Linked DNA regions of Oreochromis niloticus. Each later gene encodes a partner of the first gene's protein in a complex. Links are inferred from orthologs where the notes say so. Each region holds a gene or a part of one and is shown on either strand. Other genes may lie near its edges.

What was found.
Region 2: the proteins of ogdhb (region 1) and tcaim are in contact, whole or in part, in a cryo-EM structure (PDB 8I0K), measured with the Homo sapiens proteins. The link is inferred for Oreochromis niloticus from reciprocal best matches to the Homo sapiens genes OGDH and TCAIM. Residues at the interface, in NP_001425937.1 of Homo sapiens: Gly301, Tyr304, Arg323, Tyr354, Arg356, Ile358, Arg364, Asn365, Lys387, Glu391, Tyr394, Cys395, Gly396, Thr398, Glu399, Lys401, Lys402, Lys561, Met602, Pro605, Glu667, Gly668, Ile669, Asn709, Met734, Ala735, Ser736, Pro737, Asn738, Gln772; in NP_001269842.1 of Homo sapiens: Glu214, Gln234, Arg235, Ser236, Trp237, Gly238, His241, Ser244, His247, Ser248, Arg251, Gln255, Asp272, Arg273, Thr286, Met287, Asp288, Val289, His290, His291, Glu331, Leu332, Gln333, Pro334, Val335, Arg375, Tyr376, Glu441, Ser443, His473.

Annotation. Positions count from the first base shown.
Region 1 is NC_031972.2:9,755,000-9,765,180, forward strand, and holds the start of ogdhb (2-oxoglutarate dehydrogenase, mitochondrial), read left to right. Parts: upstream 1-5,936; 5' UTR 5,937-6,072; intron 6,073-7,296; 5' UTR 7,297-7,461; coding exon 7,462-7,695; intron 7,696-10,181. UniProt on the Homo sapiens protein: 2-oxoglutarate dehydrogenase (E1o) component of the 2-oxoglutarate dehydrogenase complex (OGDHC). Participates in the first step, rate limiting for the overall conversion of 2-oxoglutarate to succinyl-CoA and CO(2) catalyzed by the whole OGDHC.
Region 2 is NC_031976.2:1,619,993-1,630,120, forward strand, and holds the start of tcaim (T-cell activation inhibitor, mitochondrial), read right to left. Parts: upstream 4,186-10,128; 5' UTR 4,027-4,185; intron 4,003-4,026; exon of another isoform or gene 3,717-4,002; 5' UTR 3,582-3,716; coding exon 3,547-3,581; intron 1,121-3,546; coding exon 988-1,120; intron 676-987; coding exon 525-675; intron 437-524; coding exon 181-436; intron 1-180. UniProt on the Homo sapiens protein: May regulate T-cell apoptosis.

The sequences.
Region 1 (10,181 bases):
AGAGTTGTGGTAAGAAAGTGTTGAAATAGAATAGAAAAGTGCTATAAAAGTACCAGTCTGTTTTTAACATTTTTCTGTTGGGGGTTTCTGTCCCTGTACAAAAAAACATGTATCTCTAAAACCTTTCTCATCTTATAAAATGCATTTCTTTGATGATTGGGTTAGTCAGTGAGAGGTAGGAGGATTGTATTAAGATACAGGGGAATCCTTAAAGGATTGCATTTTGTCACATTTTGACAAAAGTGTACAGATACAACTCAACAAAGCTAACATTTACTTCTCCTTCCGCAGGATTAGCATTTAAATATGGTAACATTATGCTCTTGTGTCGTAATTTGTGACTGAGAAAAAGGAAAGCTGAAAAAGAATTTTCTGCTGCTCCTTACACATCGTGTGTGAGGCCTTTCACTTGGGAGGCAAATGTGTAAACCACTACAGTTATGGAGCCTTAAACAGCTGCCTACCAAGCAGAATGCAGGAAACACAGACAGCTATTGATGAACACAAAAGAGCATTTAACACATAAAGTGACAGATATTTAAAAAAATAATAATAAACTAAAAGAGAGTAAAAGTGAAATTGACAATTATATGATAAATCTTCCAGAGTTGCATTTGAATGTTTTGGAATAAGAACATACAGTCACTCTCTCATTTTTTATGTATAAACCTCAGTTTTTCTCCGGTCTGGAGACGTGAACAGGAACGACTTACTGTATTTCAGAATTCATAAAAGGGTCCTCCTTTCCCATAAAGCCCTAATTTTCACTTTGTCCTTACTCTTGCAGAGCTGTGGCTGACCTAAAACAAGAAGGTTTTAACATGTGGAAATATGGAAAAGTCAATTGACATATTTGTAAAAGAAAACAGTGTCTTGCGCACACACATACATTATTACTTCTATTTCAAGCACTAAGCAGAGTCTCTTTTATATATGTTTACAAATATTTGTGTGTAATGTCTAAATCACAAAATTTTACACAGTTTTTCCAGGACATTGATTCAACACACAGGCAGGAATGAAATTTGAAATGGACTGGTTTGGAAATAGTGTTTTTTTGCACTACTTAAGCACTCGAAGCGCTTTATACAGCTTGCCTCATTTACCCAAGGACTTTTTTTGATGCCAAAGTGCCTTTTTATTGAACATTTATACTCCAATGAACGGATTGGAGGGCAGCTTACCTACTTGAGGATACTTTGGCATGGAGAAGCCAGATTTCAAAAAAACAAACCTTCTCATTAGTAGATGACCTGGTCTACTTCCCGAGCAACAGCCACCCCTCAATGTTAGTGAGTAAAACCAAAATATTAGGTAGAATATCAAATCCTTTAGTTTTACAATATCTCCCAGAAATATCTAGTGTCGTTTGCTGTATTTTCCCTTAATGATCTAACTTTCTGTCCTCGAGGGGGCATCAACTTCTTCAAGCTTGACATTTAGACTGACTACAGGATTAAAGTACATACATGATGATTGAATGTGAGAAGAAAAATACTGAAGATTAAAGACAGGCTTATACAGGCTGTCAGATAAAGCACTGAGCTGGTCTGTTTTAGGACATATTCACAATATTGTCAAATTACTTTAGCTCACTTAACAAATAGTATAGAACATGATAGCTCCTAGTTTGATCCTTCAAATATCACATACACAGTAAAGCTTAAATGATTGGTTGAATCATCGCAGGACGATGACTGGAAAGATCAAATCATGGAAGTGGTTTTCAAAGAAAACTATAAAAATTAGCTGGTTCCAGCTTGTCACCTAATGGAGAAAAGAAACCAATTATTATGAAATATTAAAATATACATATATAATTTTATAAAGTGAACTAAAGAAAAATGTATTAGAAAGATAACTTTGTGCTTCTTACAACACTAAGATATCAAACCTTAGGTACTAAGTGGTGATGTAAAATACACCATCTACTAGGGTAAATGTATGGGCATACCGGCAATTCACAATGTAATGCTTCTCACCATCCATGCTGATCATGATGTAAAATAAAGAAATATGCTTTCAAATACTTGTTGCATTGAATCATAAAAGTTAGAAGAAGTATTAAAAACAAAAACACATTAAGCACCTAAATTTGGAGAGACGCATGGTGAACTTGCCAAGCCAAGGCTGTGATTTAGTGTTTCACATTTTGCATGAGTAGTGTTTTGTATCAAAAGGTAAAAACTTTTTGAGCCAGTTCAACACATTATTAACAGTCATTCAAAACAGTCTTTTATTAATTACTAATTATTTACATTACAAAATGAAACGGGGAATTATGCATCATCAGACAATCTTGAGGTTGTTTTTGTTTTTTAAACCATTAGTATCAGTGAAACTCCACAGCTATGGCTTTAGGACAAACCCATGAATTTCCCTTCCTGGTCAAACCAAATGTCAGTGCTATCAGTACTTTAATTGGATTGGTTACTTAGAATTAGTGTCCTCTTTGAAAGCTGTACCTTCTTACTTAATAACTAGGTTTGGGCCTGGGTGTTAATCTTAGGCTTCACCTCCAAAGACAATTTAAAGTGTATTGATAGATCCTTATCATTTCTTCTTCTGTGTTCATGTGAGCAAGTATGATATGAATGATGATGATGGTGATGACTGTATGTGAAACAAAGCTTTTATCATATACTTTTTGTATTTATTATATGATGATGATCAATATTAAAGTGTGATCAGATGTAATCAGTGTGTAAACTAATAAAACTGTCCACTCTACTATTCCGTCTTATCTCAACTCACAACCTTAGAAAGAACCCTGTATTGTTTTAGTTTTCCTTGTGTTTTTAGTGCTTTAAAATGTTACATGAATAAATGTCAGTATTTCCTCTAAACAGAATATTACTCAGAATATTCCAGCAAGTATTTTTTAGAAGGCAAAGTTTGAAGGGTCAGTAAAAACATCTCAACCACCACAGTGATTACAGGAAAGCTCGAAAAGTAGATTTACTCATGAACTGTGCTATGGAATGTTTTAAAGGTGTAAAGTTACTTCTCTTTTGTTACATTTCAGGGTAAATGTCTTACTTTACTGCATTTATAGATTAACAAATTTACAGACAAGGATAGAAAATGTAATCTGTTGTTAAACATTATACATAATTTTATTTTGCTGGAATTCTTACTCTACCCTTTCTCTTCCACTTATCCAATTTAGGGTCACAGGGGGGCTGAAGCCTATCACAGTTGCCATAGGGCAAGAGGCTAGGTACAACCCTAGTCTGACTCAGGGTCAACACAGAGAGACAGACAACAATTCACAACTATGGGTAATTTGGAAAATAACCTAACCTCACTAAAAGTATGTCTTTGGACTATCGAAGACAGCCGGAGAACCCAGAGAGAACCTATGCAAACCCGTGGCCAGACAGTGGATTCTAATCCAAGACCTTGCTGTGAGGTGGCAGTGCTAACTACTGTTTTAACATGCCATGGATTTCATATGTAAGGTTTGTAAGGTTTTTTAGCTTACAGAGTTAAGTTCCCTAATTTGGTTGCTTTTGTAAATTGGAGCTAAATAAATAAACCAAATTGAAATATACTAAATTTAGGGAGATAAGACTCACCTTTTGCAAATACCTTAATGTCAGATATCAAAGTAGAACGGATTATAGTGAAATACAGTAGAAAAATATTTAAAATTGCAGTAAAAAAAAGTAGTAATTCACTAGCTGGGATCACATCCTCAGATAGGTTTGCTAACATTTTTGTAGATAGTGGCAGATGGCTTGAACATAAATTGAGGCTGTGGTTTTTGGGAAGGCCTCAGAGGGGGACTGGTGGCAGCTCCTGGGTCAGGCAGATCCCTATAAGAAGTGAATTATTTGAAAAAGGGAGAGAGGGTGGGTACGAATCTAAAGCAGACAATAGCAACCTCGTTGTACAGGATACAGTAACCATCGCAGTGGCAGATATTCAAGAAAGGTTTGCAATATATAACTTGTTAGGGGTGAGGGGAGGATGACAATACAAAAGACACACTATGGAAGAAAACCAGAGTTTTAGAAGGATTTTGAATTCAAGAATGAAAATAAGCTAATATGGGATAAATATGGTCTCATTTTCTAGTACTCTTGCACGAGCATCATTATGATTATTATGATTAGCAGAAGTAGTAGTAGTAGTAATAATAGTAGTATTTGCAATGTTGACTGGTTCTGAGAGATCTGGGAGGCTGCTGTTCTCTGCTCTTAGGTACACCAGCCACTTAGCATTGATAATGTGTAATGCCTGTTTTCCTCAATGCTCTTCTAGCATTGCTCAATTTCAGCTCAGGATCTGCCCTTGTATTGTTATTCGCTTGTAGCTGAAAGCACAACCTGGGATCTTTGCATGGATCTTTGGAAAACAGGCCATTTCTCCTCTTGGCTTCTGCTATGGAAATCTTGTTGCACTTTCTTATTCATCTAGGACCAGGTTTTTCAACCTGTTATACTGAAAAATAAGAAAAAGACTAGCATACCATAAAAAAACAAACAACAAAAAAACATCACAAACAGCAGTACAGAACCAGGAACATGGGATCTGTCAGCCTGAACAGAGACAGAGACACACATGCCTACACACAAGAAAATGATATTGCCAGCATCCACGGAATAGTACCAAGAAACTGACAAAAGTCATGTTTAATTAAAGACTAGATAAGGAGAATATTTTTACGATTTTTAAGGCTTTGCCATTTTATTTAGTATTTTTTTTTCTCTTTACAAACAAATTGAGGAACAGCAATACTGATAAATTACCAATTTGTGTGCAAAATGTTCATTTGATTTATGCCCAGATTTGATTGTTAATGACGTCCATTGTTTTAAAGTACAGAGCCAAACAAAGGAAGAATTCTTCAGAGAAGAGGCAGCCAGCTGATATTTTGTCTGCAGTAGCTTCAGCAAGGCTGAAGATAGATGATTTTTTTTATGAAAGGAAAGTTTAAAGGGCAAAACTGCTGTTAAAAGATTCTTGACTTTATTACCTATTATGTTTGCAATTCATTTAATTAAATAAAGCTTTCATTTAATGTAAAACATCTTCTGGTAGTGGTGTAAATACATTTATTCTATTTTGAATGCAGTGTGGTATTACTATGTTAATGATTTGTGCTGTGAGATCCAAGTTTACATAATGAAGTGGCTGAAAATCTGTGTCACCACCACCTGAAGTATGTGTGAATGTCTTTCTTGTCTCCTCTGTGTCTGCCTTTAGTGTTGCAAAGACTTCATTAGCATCATGAATTAAGCTGTGTTGCCAAAACACCAATTACATGAATACATATTAACATCAAAGTCAGTGCCAGCAGGGTGCAGAGGTATCGGAGCCTGTCTGAGAACAAGTTAATAAGCTGAGGGATAAAAATGCTTTTTACCTAAGGTCTGCTTTGAAGTACTTTGATTATATACTGTGAGCCATAGGAATTAATCATTTCAGATTTTAATACAGGTATATTTTTCTTCATGAAACAAGATGTGATAATTAGAAATTCTGCTTTTTCACCAACCAGACTGACAACATTGTGACCCCAATAGACTCAACCGGTGATGGTATCAGCCTTCTACACCAACACATAACTTTTAACACCTCTTTTTTTCTTAGAGTTTATATCATCTCTTGAGTGTTTGTATGTGTACTCGTGCGGTTTAATCAGTAATGAAATTTTCTGTAATCAGAAAAATATATATTTCTATGTAATAAAAAAACACCACAAAAAAAATCTTATTTGGTTTTGTTTAAATGTGACTACATTCCAGATGTAGTTATCCATTCATTACATCTCTGCCCACATTAGGCGCATTTTAAACATGCATATCATTTGAGTTGAACAGACAAAACTAACCCTGCATTCAGTTCAGAACACCAGAGAACGAAAAAGTTTTCTTTGTTGCTTACTTAAACAAGTAATATCACTACCGGGACGCTTTTCAGCACCGGGGACAAGACAGCGCTCGCGCGCGCGACACACACGCGCACACAGACTTTCGTCTACGACAGGACCTCTGACTTCCACTCATTTACGACACGGAAGGCTCCGGGGAAGGCGTCGAAAGCACCTACGAGACCGCGGTAAAGGTAACAAAGTCGATGCAAATGAAGTGTTATCCTAAAAGCTTTATTTAACGAGAAACTTTACTTTGAACCTGATTAATGCTTCGTAGGGGCCCCATGCGTGATGGTACGGTTTTTGAAGTGTTCTTGCTTTGTTTTCGGTATTGTATTTATTTTATGCAGATTTTAAGGTTACAAGTCTTTTTGTCTGTGCTTCAGGCTATATGCCGTCCCCCAGTGAACTTCATTTTACTAAGATTCTTTTTTCCTGGAAAGACCCGTTAGATGTGTTGTTAACCCGCACCGGCGTTATTCTTTGTGGGTTTTCATAACTAAATTCCTCTGTGTTGTCTTACTGCTTGTGCTCATAGAAACATTCGATTAGAGCGCCACAAAATGCTGAAAAGTAATGACTAGAAATACACCAAAAAACATACATTCTCCTTTTCAGTAAAGTCTGCTAAAGGTTAAAGTCCAGGTTTTACGAACTACTGAGGTGTCTTTAACAGTAAAAGCTATTATTTTCGATCTGCTTTGTTGCTTGCTGAAATAAACTGCAACATTTTTCGACAGTTAGCGTTTGGCCTACATTTAATAGGCGCATGTGTATATAGTGGGTGAATGGTGTCCCTAGAGACTATAAATTATAATATTGAAAACCATATCTAAATCTAAACCATGAATGTAATAGCTAAATGCTGAGTCTTAAAACTTATAATTAAGTCATAGACAGTATAAACATGGGGCACATCTTGGTGAGCAGGGGCCTGGTTGCAAAAGTACTTCTTGTTGTTCACCTTTTAAATATTGGTAATACCAAGATTCAGGGGTAAGCAAATCACAAGTTGTTAGCCACTTTTCTGTGCTTGTTAGCAACCTTCTGCTTCTTTAGCATGTAATGATAGACTAGGACTCCTTCCCCAGTCATTTCTGAAATAACTGAGGCCTCAGTCCATATGCTGCCTACGGCACCTATCACATTTTCAGAATTTTGGTATGAAAGGGAAAAAAGAAAGGAAAAAAAAAGAATTTTGGTATGAAAATGTATTGTAAATATCAGTTCTGGTGCAAAATGCATACCTTAATTTACAACTAGCACTTCTTCACATACAGGACACAAATTCACAAGTACTGAGAAACTGAATAAAACATTGTTTTGGCCTTACCATGTGTTTTTTCACAAAAATATATTTAATATTAGCCTTATTAGGTTTGCTCAATTACAAAATCTATATCTGGAATCTGCAGGATCCATTGGGCAGTTGGGAGAAGAGAAGGGGCAGTGTCTGCAGATAAGCCAATCTCTCCGGTTCAGCAAGCCAGACGGATTTGAAGAGGGGCAGCTCCTGATTAGCCTGTAGGATCTCCTTGTCCAGGAGAGTGATCCTGCAGAACTGTGACTCATCTGCCGCTATGCACTGCTTAAGGACTACGGCTGTAAGGCTTTGGCCTTTAACGGCTGTACAAATGACCCAGAGCCTATCAAAGCCTCTACCATTGGCAGTTAAACAGGGCTTAAGGAGATCTCAGCCCACAAGGCACCTGAACACACCTCTAGCTAGTGAACCCTTTCTCAATGGCACCAGCTCTAACTATGTGGAGGAGATGTACTACTCATGGCTAGAGAATCCAAAGAGTGTGCATAAGGTACAGCACATCCACCTTTAATTCTGTGTTTGATGTTGTTGTCATTTCTGCAGTTATATATGTTTAAAATATGAAACTGCATGTAAAACCAACCAAGTGTTTTGGTCGGCAGAGATGACCTAATAATGGATATATAACAGGGAAAAATAACTCCACCTCCATCAATTACAGACATAAAATGCAGCCTCCACATAAATCAACGCATATTTCAACCCAGTCATTATTGGTAATTAATAAACAGGTATTAGGTTGCCTGGTGTGGGACCAAAGTTTGATGGTGATTAACCAATAACTGAAAAGGTGACTATGACACAGTGTTTAAATTTGTATAAAGGAGAATACATTTATGATGAAATTTAAAAAGATAAACAGAAACAGATTTTCAAAATAAATGGGGATGTTGGTGGTGGCTGGAGGGGGGTCGAAAAATGGAAAATAATAATAAATAAGTATATATTGACAACTAAATACACATGTAAAGAAAGAAAGAAAGAAAGTTTGACAATTTTACTAAAACTTGAAAATACCAAATTTCCACACATGAACATCGAGACACAAAATTGTCCACATCTGTACTTCTTGACATGTTGCACAGTGACAATCCACTGAAGATACATTATTAGTGGAAATACTGGAATTTAGGTGATGGAGCTGCCTGAATAGAGTGTAAAGGACTTATGACACACTCAGTATGAATGCAATAGACAACTGCCTGCACTATTCTCACTTAGGCTATTCTCACTTAGACGTCACACACTACGAGACTATGCACTATGTCTCCAGTCTAAACGATGAAATGCAAAAAACTGTAGTTCATGGAGTGGCAACTTGAAGCTGCCTGCATAAATTACACAGTTCACATAGAATTCCATGTTTAAGTGGGCAGCTGAGTTTTTGTTTTATAACTCATCCATTTGGATAAAGGTTTACCATTAGCAACATTGGCAGTTGAAAGACAAGTAATAATAATAATAATAATAATACATTTTATTTGAAAGCGCTTTTCAAAACACTCAAGGTCGCTGTACACAGTAGAGTAAAAAGCAACATAAAAGCAAAGAGTTTACACAATCATAAAACATAAACAAATTTAAAATAGCAAAGTGGAGAGGTTATGTGGGATAAGCTATTTTGAACAAGTGGGTTTTGAGTTGGGACTTAAAGAGAGAGAAGGTAGAGATATTTCTTAAATCAGGAGGTAGGGAATTCCAGAGTTGTGGAGCAGAGCAGCTGAAAGCCCTGCTCCCCATGGTGACAAGACGGGGGGAGGGGACGGAGAGTGAAAGGGAAGAAGAAGATCTGAGACAACGAGATGGGGAGGTGATGTTAACCAGATCAGAGAGATATGGAGGAGAGAGATGATGAATAGCTTTAAATGCGTACAAGAGTATTTTGAAATTGATACGATACTTGACCGGGAGCCAATGAAGCTGCTGCAGAACAGGAGTGATGTGATGGACAGAAGGGGTCCTGGTGATGATACGGGCAGCAGAATTCTGGATGCGTTGAAGCTTATGGATGGATTTTTGAGTAAGACCAAAAAGAAGTGAATTACAATAATCAATCCGGGAAGTAACAAGGCTGTGGACAAGAATGGCAGTGGCATGTGGGGTGAGAAAAGGACGGAGACGATTAATGTTGCGCAATTGAAAATATGCAGACCGAGTGACATTATTAATGTGTGAATTGAAAGATAGAGTACTGTCGAGGATGACACCCAAACTTTTCACAGAGGAAGAAATGGAGACCGGCGAGTTATTGATAGTAATAGAGAAACTGTTGGTTCTGGATAATGTTGATTTAGTGCCTACTAAGAGGAGTTCGGATTTATTACTATTGAGTTTAAGAAGATTAGAAGAGAACCATGAATTTAGTTCAGCTAAGCAGAGGGTGAGGGAGGATGGGGGAAGAGCAGAATCAGGTTTAGTGGACAGATAAAGCTGGGTGTCATCGGCATAACAGTGAAAATGGATATTGTATTTACGGAAAATATGTCCAAGCGGTAGAAGGTAGATAATAAAAAGAAGGGGCCCCAGGACAGATCCCTGGGGCACGCCAGTGGTCAGAGGAAAGGGCTGAGAAGTAAAGGATTTGAGTTGAATGAACTGAGTGTGAGGTAGTTGTAGCCTATAGCTGTCTGCTAGGCCTTACTGCATCTAATTTGGTCCTGCAGTAAGGTACAGATTATCCAGAAGTTTGTGCTTCCATTTTGGTCGGTACAATTGTAGTTACATAACACTAATAAGCAGATATGCGGGGCTGGAGCCATAGTTTCTGAACTTGTTTGGTAGACTTACATGGTACTGTACCCTTGCTTTCCTCTCTGACTCTCCTCCAAAAAACAGTATAGCAGCAACCAAAATGCTTACACTGATAAATAAAATGTGGATTCCCCTAGTCAGCCTAGGGGAATCACTGTACGCTATGCACTAGGTACATGGTGAAAAGCTTGTAATGTAATGACTTGCCTAAATTGCCAAAAGTAG
Region 2 (10,128 bases), on another chromosome or scaffold:
AAAATCCACAGCAAACACAGCACTGTGTCTACATGATCACAAACAGCAGTTTCTGGGTTTAGAAGGTTTAAACACTTCCTACAGTTGAGATGTGACAACCACAACCAGAGCGTAGGCTACCTGAGCGTAGGCTACCTGAGCGTAGGCTACCTGAGCGTAGGCTACCTGAGCGTAGGCTACCTGAGTGTAGGCTCGGCTCTCTGGGCCTGCTGCAGCTCCTGCTCGGGGTCTTTGAAGCCCGTGAAGGTGTAATAGCTTTTATCCCATTTGATGGTTCTGTAGAAAGGCTTCCCCGTCTCAGTCGGACTTTTACTTGCTGCTTTACTCGCCGTTAGTCCTTTCATGTGCTCCATGGGCAGGCTGCAGCTCGTCAAAACATCCATCACTGTGCTCAAAACATCGTTTGTGTGCAGAGTAAAGCTGACTGAGCGGAAGCCTGAGAAGCAAACAGGAGCAATTTTACGTTAAAAAAACAACAACAAAAACACTCACTGGTACTTTGAGCATTTTTAAAAGAAATGCACCTGAGCTGAGGAGTTCTGGCTGCACCTTACTGCTGTACTTTGTGTTCCTTAGATAAAAGGTGAGCTTCATGGGTTGAACTGAACGTGAGCCAGGCTTCTGCAAGTTCTCCAGATAGCCATTCAGCCTCTTTAGCGAGTTCTCATTCACCTCCTGTAACACAGAGGTACCAGAACTTACATCATGGCAGCTCGTACCAACAAACGTCTGACACAGTGTTGTATGTACACAGATTATAAAGTCATATTTAATGATAATATCACATCATATTACTTTATATTGTATATGGATCACAGAGCACATAGATGATAAGTATACTGAACACAGTGGATTGTCTGCTGTGCCTATAAGGCGTCACACACATGTAAACCTGACAGTTAAGACAGTTTTTGAACTGTTACTTTACGATCATATGTTGCCAATAACACATATTTGGATTTATGTCATGACAGATATGAGACCTACCCGTTCTTTGGGATATTTACCGAAGAAGTCTGGGTGGACTGCAAAATAAAAGGGCCTGAGAGCATTTACAGCCTCTGCCCCTGACAGAGCTCTCTGTTGTACAGCATGTGTGGCAACATGCTTCCGCTGCAGCCTGCACAGAGAAAGACAGACGTTACAGAAAAGAGGCTAATTTACATCATTAAACCCTGCTCTCAATAACTGACATAGACGTAACTCCAGCTGGCTGCAACAATGGGCTTTTTGTTCAAACTGAGTAAATACTGTCGCCCACTTTCACTGTTATCTATGATACTCCCTAACTAGAAGTTATCCAAGTTTACTTCAGTTAACCAAGTCAGACAGTTGTAATGAAAACATAAACACAGTGCCAGCTGTTTATCAGCAGCTTATGCAGTAACCATGGTAACCACGGACATTGAGTGGCTGGATCAACGCAGGCCAGACTTTGGGAAGTACCCCTCATGTCTCTTTGAAACTAAAAGACAGTCATTTATCAGCCGTGTGGTCAGTATTACAGCAGGGTCCTGCTGAAAAACTGCAAAACAAACGAAACGTGTTGATGATGAAAATAGCAGGTCTGCCTCTAAAGTGTTTCCTGATGGGAATCAGTAACAAAGTCATAGACACAAGTTTATATTTCTCATGTTGGATAAAAACAATTGCACATTTATGATGTTGAAACAGGACACAGACACTGTAACTGCTGACCTCATATCAAACGTAGACTGAGCCCATGTTTGATGTTTTTATATCCAACCTTTACTCTCAAACCTTTAAACAGCAGCGAGTCTCAGCTGAGAGAATAAGTGTTCATATGATGGGGGAATATGATTTATGAGCAGCGTGCAGTCTGCTGTACTGAAATCACTGAATGAAGAGCAAACAGTGTGTCGCACTGTCACGGGAAGATGCGTGTATAAATCTGGTGATTTATTAAATGTATAAATGTTATTATACTTCATTCTAATCTGCTGCTGAGTCTTTTACGCTGATGGAAGTACAGATAACAGAGCACACACAGCATGAACACCTGTTCAACCAATCACATTTATTTCACTTTGACCAGCCATGAAATGAAGCGTTCATCTCTTCCTCTTTTTATAACAGTGTTGCATTTGACTGGTATATTTTTATGTTCTTGTTTTGTTTTGTTTGCTGCAAACAGAAACAAAAAGTCAAGGAAAAAAGAAATTACACGCTATTAAAAAACCTGTTCACACACAGAGGTCTGAGCCATTTTCTAGAGAACTGATTGGTCAGAAGTTGGCAAATTCATACCTGCTGATTTCTTGATTTCTTACCTACTCTAGACTGTTACCATGGTGATTTACCTGGAGAAAAGTTTACCACCTTTGCAGTACAGAAAACCCTGGGTTAACCCTGAAGTTACCCAGATAAACCAAAACCTGCTTCACATGATAGGCATCAGCTCTCTGCCACAGCAAACTAAGGGTAAGAGAAATCAGAGTAATGTCTTTAACAAAGGACAGACCCACCCAGAGTCATCACAATATCACAAAAGAGAGAGATAATGGCATGGAGTCGGACAGCAGTACCTGACTAGACAGACAGATCGATAATGCAGCGACAGAAAAAGAGTTCTAAATAATATTAATGTTGTTAATGTTATTATTTTCAAAGTTCGAAATAAATTTAGTTTTAAAATATTTGAGAGTAGATTAGAATGTTTTCTGGTCCTAAACATGAAGTGTCAGAATTTCCCCAGCAATGTTACTGGGGAATAATCGGCTGGGGAATGCTGGGGGCGCTACTCGACCTGCAGAGACCAGAGATGACCATGTGACTGTCTTTAAGCTTGTTTTGCCCTGGTGTGTGTGTCTGTATCCAGACTGTAAAATACATTCAGCTCTCCTCAAACGTGTCATTGTCACTGCTCACCCCCCCATCCCGCTTCTCTATGTGACACATCCGTACGCTATTCTCACCTTAATATAAATAAAAAAAATTATTTTGAGTGCACTGTTTGTCAACAATGCATTCTTACAGGGGGTACATCATGTGTAATAAGAGAATGACACAGGGGAAAGTACTGAACACGTGCATGGAAAGTAGAGACAGCAGCTGAACTCAGTGATCAGAAAGCAGCTCTGCAATTTGCAGAGAACCTACTTTTAATGTTAAACTTTTTGCACTAAATTATATGAAAGACTGCATTAAATGTAAGTTATTACAGATATGTCGATCCCAACAAAGGAAAATGAAACCCAAAAAGCCTTTTTAGGAACCTGATGTCTTTCGGAGTGCAGGTTACGAGACGATCATGAACGGAGACCCATATTGTACCGTACATAACGATGTAGGTGCGCATTTTCAAACGCAGATGGGTGACCGCAGGAACACATCAAAGTAAAGATTCTGTTACATTTTCTGTCCATTGTTGAAAAACCAAAAGTCAAACTCAAAGTCATTTTGACACTTACGTTTCTATATGCCTTCAACATGCGCATATTAGACTTTTTAAAAGGAGTTTTAAAACTGTCATTATGCTCCAGCCTGCACGTTATCATGTGATCGTACGTGTTGGGACAGTTTTACCTGATGGTGCATCGCAGAAGGGGGATTGCAGACATTGCTGACGCTGCTGGTCCAGAGATCAGCCTGTAATCACGGCCTTTTCAGTCGGTCCATCTGCATTTCCTTTATCAAAGTACTTCCATGGTTTGTTGCACTGGATCTGGCAGCAGCCTGGTACAGCTCAGCAGGGACTAAATCAGAGTAACTTCAGTTCGTCAAAAGAAAATCAACAGAAACAGATACCTAACGGTGTTAGCTAACTCTAATTTGTATTTACTCCTTTGAATCCCATGCTATCAAGTTATCTAAAAATATTAACAAATAGCAAACATTTGAAAACAGAACAACCCCAGATTAAAATGTCTCTGTAGTTTCCTTTGTGATTTCTAATCAATGACAGCAACAAAACATGGTTCCACTTTGCTAGCCAGGCTAGCACATAAAGTTAGCATTGCTATGAGGTGGTGCTACGCCGCAAACAAAATCCAATAAACGACTTACAGTGTGGTTGGTTGTTAAATTGTGACTGACAACAAAGTGACCTGTAACATCCCTGCCGTTAAGGTAGGACCGTTTTAGTTAGCGGCTGTGTGTTCTTCTTCTGTGATTGCTGGTACCAGCCAGCCGCACTATTGCGCCACCAGGCGGACTGGAGTGTCAGGTTAGGTTGAAGCAACCAGAGTTTTCTACTTCTGGCTCCACATGTTTGGAAAGGAAAACCATCCAAGCAATCTTTGAATGGTGAATGTTTTGTTCATGTATTTTTGTATTATGGTTTAATATAAAAATGTCTGTATTATTACTTGAACAATTTCTGTGAGATTAAAGATTGATGAATAAATACCAACAAGGTCCAGAGTAATTAGGTGAGTCAGCATGATTTTACTGTTAGGCCTATATAGTTTTTTTTTTAATTTTTTCCAGTCTTTGAAGATTAGATACCTAGGTATATGTCAGATACTTATAATACAATCTTGAGATCCTTTCCTAGGGGATTCAACTCCCACTCAATCTTGATCCAAGTGACCTCATTAATTCACAGGATGGCAGACAGGATCGCTCTCTTGCTACAAGTGTCATCCACTCAATCGCACACACGTTCAAACAGCACTTCATGCACTATGATTGACATTTACTGGTTTGTTTCCTATTATTGTCCTGCTGCATAATCTGAATGCACTTAAGCTTCAGGGCATGAAATGATAGCTGGACATTCTCCTGTAGAGAACAGAATCCATGGTTTCGTGTATTACAGAAAGTCTCCCAGATCCCAAAGCAGCAAAGTAGCCCTAGAACGCCACACTACCACTGCCAAATCTTGCAACAAGTTCAACTTTTGTGTCATGGGTGCACAGAATATCTTCCCAAAATTGCTGTTTTTGGTTGGCACTGGTTTTCACCTTGAACTCTCCAGTGGATGCCATTTGTGCCCAGTCTCTTTCTTAGGTTTACCCCTGTTTTCTCCATTGGTGCATAATGGCTGACAGCGTGGTTCACTGGAGTAAAATGGCTTTAAAACCTTTTTTATACTCATAGATGTCAGTGGCTTTGTTTCTCATCTCTTCTTGAGTTTCTTTAAAGAGTCTGACAGCCACCAACATTCTCCATGTGTGGCAGCCTGTCATTCATTGGCTTTAACTTATCCTTACAGGCCATTAGATCTTGGTAGGAGAATAATTGTGGTAAAAACTAATATTTTGCTCAGACTGTTTGTTCCATTCTTTGCCTCTTCAGATCTGATAAACAGTTTTGTGAATGGGCCAAAGTGATATATTTATCTAGAATGGTACATTCCCTAGAGTGAAATATGAAACTCTGCGGTTACCAAGAGACAAGGGAGGGATGGGTTCACCCAGCATTAAAGACTACTATAGGGTGGGCCATTTATATGGATACACCGTAATAACATGGGAATGGTTGGTGATATTAAAGTCCTGTTTGTGGCACATTAGTATATGTGAGGGGGCAAACTCCCCAAGATGGGTGGTGACCATGGTGGCCATTTAGAAGTCGGCCATCTTGGATACAACTTTTGTTTTTTCAATAGGAAGAGGGCCATGTGACACATCAAACTTATTGGTAATGTCAAAAGAAAAACAATGGTGTGCTTGGTTTCAACGTAACTTTATTCTTTCATGAGTTATTTACAAGTTTCTGACCACTTATAAAATGTGTTCAATGTGCTGCCCATTGTGTTGGATTGTCAATGCAACCCTCTTCTCCCACTCTTCACACACTGATAGCAACACCGCAGGAGAAATGCCAGCACAGGCATCCGGTATCCGTAGTTTCAGGTGCTGCACATCTCGTATCTTCACACCATAGACAATTGCCTTCAGATGACCCCAAAGATAAAAGTCTAAGGGGGTCAGATCGGGAGACCTTGGGGGCCATTCAACTGGCCCACGACGACCAATCCACTTTCCAGGAAACTGTTCATCTAGGAATGCTCGGACCTGGCACCCATAATGTGGTGGTGCACCATCTTGCTGGAAAAACTCAGGGAACGTGCCAGCTTCAGTGCATAAAGAGGGAAACACATCATCATGTAGCAGTTTCAAATATCCAGTGGCCTTGAGGTTTCCATTGATGAAGAATGGACCCACTATCGTTGTACCCCACATACCACACCAAACCATCACTTTTGTTGTTCCAACAGTCTTGGAGGGATCCATCCAATGTGGGTTAGTGTCAGACCAATAGCAGTGGTTTTGTTTGTTAACTTCACCATTCACATAAAAGTTTGCCTCATCACTGAACAAAATCTTCAGCGTGAACTGAGGGTCCTGTTCCAATTTTTGTTTTACCCCTTCTGCAAATTCTGTGCGCCGATCTGGGTCATCCTCGTTGAGATGCTGCAGTAGCTGGAGTTTGTAAGGGTGCCATTTGTGAGTAGCTAATATCCGCCGAAGGGATGTTCGACTAATGCCACTCTCCAGTGACATGCAGCGAGTGCTATGCTATGGGCTCTTGCTGAATGAAGCGAGGACAGCCACTGATGTTTCTTCATTAGTGACAGTTTTCTTGCGTCCACATTTTGGCAAATCCAACACTGAACCAGTTTCACGAAACTTAGCAAGCAGTTTGCTAACTGTAGCATGGGAGATGGGTGGTCTCGTAGGGTGTCTTGCATTGAAATCTGCTGCAATGACCCGGTTACTGCGTTCACCAGATATCAACACAATTTCGATCCGCTCCTCACGGGGCGATCGTGGCTCAAGAGTTGGGAGTTCGCCTTGTAATCGGAGCCCCCGGCTCGGACAGTCTCGGTCGTTGTGTCCTTGGGCAAGACACTTCACCCGTTGCCTACTGGTGGTGGTCAGAGGGCCCGATGGCGCCAGTGTCCGGTAGCCTCGCCTCTGTCAGTGCGCCCGAAGTGGCTACAGTTGCATACCTGTGGTGTGAAGGTGGATGACTGGTGTGAAAGCGCTTTGGGGTCCTTAGGGACTAGTAAAAGCGCTATATAAATACAGGCCATTTACCATTTACGTGGTCTTCGACATGTCAATGTCTGTGAACAAAGAGAAACTTGTAAATAACTCATGAAAGAATAAAGTTACGTTGAAACCAAGCACACCATTGTTTTTCTTGTGACATTACCAATAAGTTTGATGTGTCACATGGCCCTCTTCCTATTGAAAAAACAAAAGTTGTATCCAAGATATGGCCGACTTCTAAATGGCCACCATGGTCACCACCCATCTTGAGGAGTTTGCCCCCTCACATATACTAATGTGCCACAAACAGGACTTTAATATCTCCAACCATTCCCATTTTATTACGGTGTATCCATATAAATGGCCCACCTTGTATTTAGCAGCACAAATAAAACCACGTATACTTTGGTGTAATCAGGATTATGAAGCAAAGTGGAAAGCCATAGTGTTGGCTTTAATAACATGGCAAAGTTTGTTGGATTGCCAAACAATGTCCAGAGCCAGCGGGCTGGGTTTTCTATAGATATGTGGTCTGGACCAGTGAAACAGCTTATACTTTCAAAACATAGTACAAATGTAACCCCTGGCCTACTTACTTCTTCAAATCCAACAAAAGTGGTGTCAAATGTTTGTGCTGCACTCATTTTAAAAATATTAATAAAAGAAAATTTCTAAAGAAATTTAAAAGCCCCCCCCCCCCACACACACACACTTCTTTCAATGTTACATAAAATAGACTTAACACTTTAGTGTAGTTTCTAATATTTTATTTCAGAATGGCAACAAAAATGTAACTGTAATGTTTCCACAGTGGGTAGCTTCCTGCTGCAACACTAAAGGTGTTGTGGACAGTTTACCTGATAAGAATGCCTTTGACAAAACCAGCATTATCTAACATACTTTAAGTTTAGTCTTTAGTCTTTTAGTTCGTCTGTTAATGCAAAATCAATTTAAGAGGCAAAGGTTTGCTAGTGCTAGATGTGTCAAGCAAAATTAATTATTTGTTTCACTTCCATTCATTACATTTACCTGAACGAACACAAGCAAAGTGAAGTTGAAACGATATTGAAAAGCACAGACATTTTCTCCTTGACTGAGGTGCATCACCCTTTGCTGTGCTTGTAATAGATGTAGTGAAAAGTGACCATGCTGGTGGCCACTGACAGGCAAGGTAGCAATTTTAATAAGCACACAACAACTGCTTATTGATATGTGACAAATCTGATAAATCACTGATAGAAACCTAAGGAGGTTGGAAAGAAAAGCGTCTGGACTTCTTAAAGTTGCTTGAAGACGTTTCATCTCTCATCCGAGAAGCTTCTTCAGTTCTAGGGTCAAATGGTGGAGAGTCCCAGATTTAAGCCCTGTGGGAGTGTCCCCAAGAGGGTCATGGACCCCCTATTGATCCTCTACCTAATCACATGAGCCAAGGTGTGAAAACGGGTGGTCACAATCAGCCAGGGTTTCGGGTGAGCTCACTGTGAAACCTGGCCCCACCCTATCATGTGATTTCCTGAGGTCAGATGGCCCAGAATGTAAGTGGGCGTTAAGGCGTCTGGGAAGGATCTCAAAACTGGATTATAGATGGCAGACAGTTGGTGTCGTAAGCCCCGCCCTCTGTTCAAAGATGGTCGTTCACAGTGGACATAGATGCTTCTTTCACTCCTCTTTCAAACCATCTGTCCTCTCTGTCCAAAATGTGAACATTGGCATCCTCGAAAGAGTGACCTTTGTCCTTTAGATGCAGATGGACTGCTGAGTCTTGTCCCGTCTTGTCAGAAGTCCATCTGCATCTAAAGCACAAAGGTCTCTGTAATCTATTGTCCATCTCATGACATGATTCAAGATTAACAATGAAAACTTTTAGATAAAACATTGAGAAATCAGTCTGAGTGGCATTTATTCCAACACATTAACAGCAGAATTCTGAGAAGGTTGCAATATGAGCACACTGAAGTATCACAGCTCAAGACACACAAGCTGTCAGTGGTTTACTGGGTTGTTGTAGTTTTTTTTTAACCACAAGATGGGGCTCATTATCTATTCATCCATTTCCCAGCCGACTCCTATCACAAGGCTCGCACACAAACACATACTTCTACCCAGAGCCAATCTGTTGAGGTTTAAGTCTAAGGAGCACCGTGGGCAGCTTAGTAATTAACCTGCCTAGAAAAATGTGAAGTTGGTCGTGTAGGTAACAAAAATACCCGAAACAAAAACAAATATAGTTGCCACAAAAGATCCATGCTAAAACAAAACTTCACTTATATAGATGTTATTAGGTGATTTGAAAAAGTTCCATGGTTAGACAAAGCCATCAGACTCGAGGCATCTGGCACAACATAGCTTCTGCAGTCAGTCTACCTCTGATTTTTAAAGCTCAGATTATACCTCGTTTTCACATCTGATAGTGGTTAAAGGGGGATTACTCCACACAAGGAGCTGGCATGGATAAACACTCTAAGTGGGAGAGACAGTCAGTCTTTGTTATGTTTTAACACTGGGATTTATTTTTCATCCTACACTGTTGGAAGCCAGGAATAACTTTTTTTGGAGGTTTGTACAAATTGAAATGATAAAGGACTTTGTTATAATTCACTCCAGATTTGATGGGTGTTCTAAATAAAGCTGTTGTGGATTGTTGTTTTTTAACAGAATAAGAACCTAATGCAAACTTCATCTTAGAATGGAAATGATCAATGGAAAATTCAATTAAACAGCTTCCTGAGACCCATCAGTCGATCACATATCTTCTGGGTGGCTTTGCAGGCAGGAAATCATTTCTTGGACTGGCCTCTTCTCAAAACAAATCTGATAAACTGCTGTAAACAAAGGGAACCTGGAGAGAGTAAGGACAGAGTTAGTCAAGAAACAAGAGAAGCTTGGCGAAGTAGAAAAGAGAAAATACAAGTTATTAATTTCACATGTAATGAACGAATATAGAATAGGTAAACAACAACAATACAATGATGAATATGATGAGCCAAAGTATGACGATCTCAAAACGACCCAGTAACATATTTCAGTTTTGTTTCAGCATAGAATCCTAGGGTGGTTAATTACAGTAACTTGAATGAGTTTAGGGAGAGTTTGTTCTTTATTATCAATTTCTGTGTTTAAAAATAGTTCAAATCCTTCCAAAGTCTGTAGTTGTAGTAATAATAAT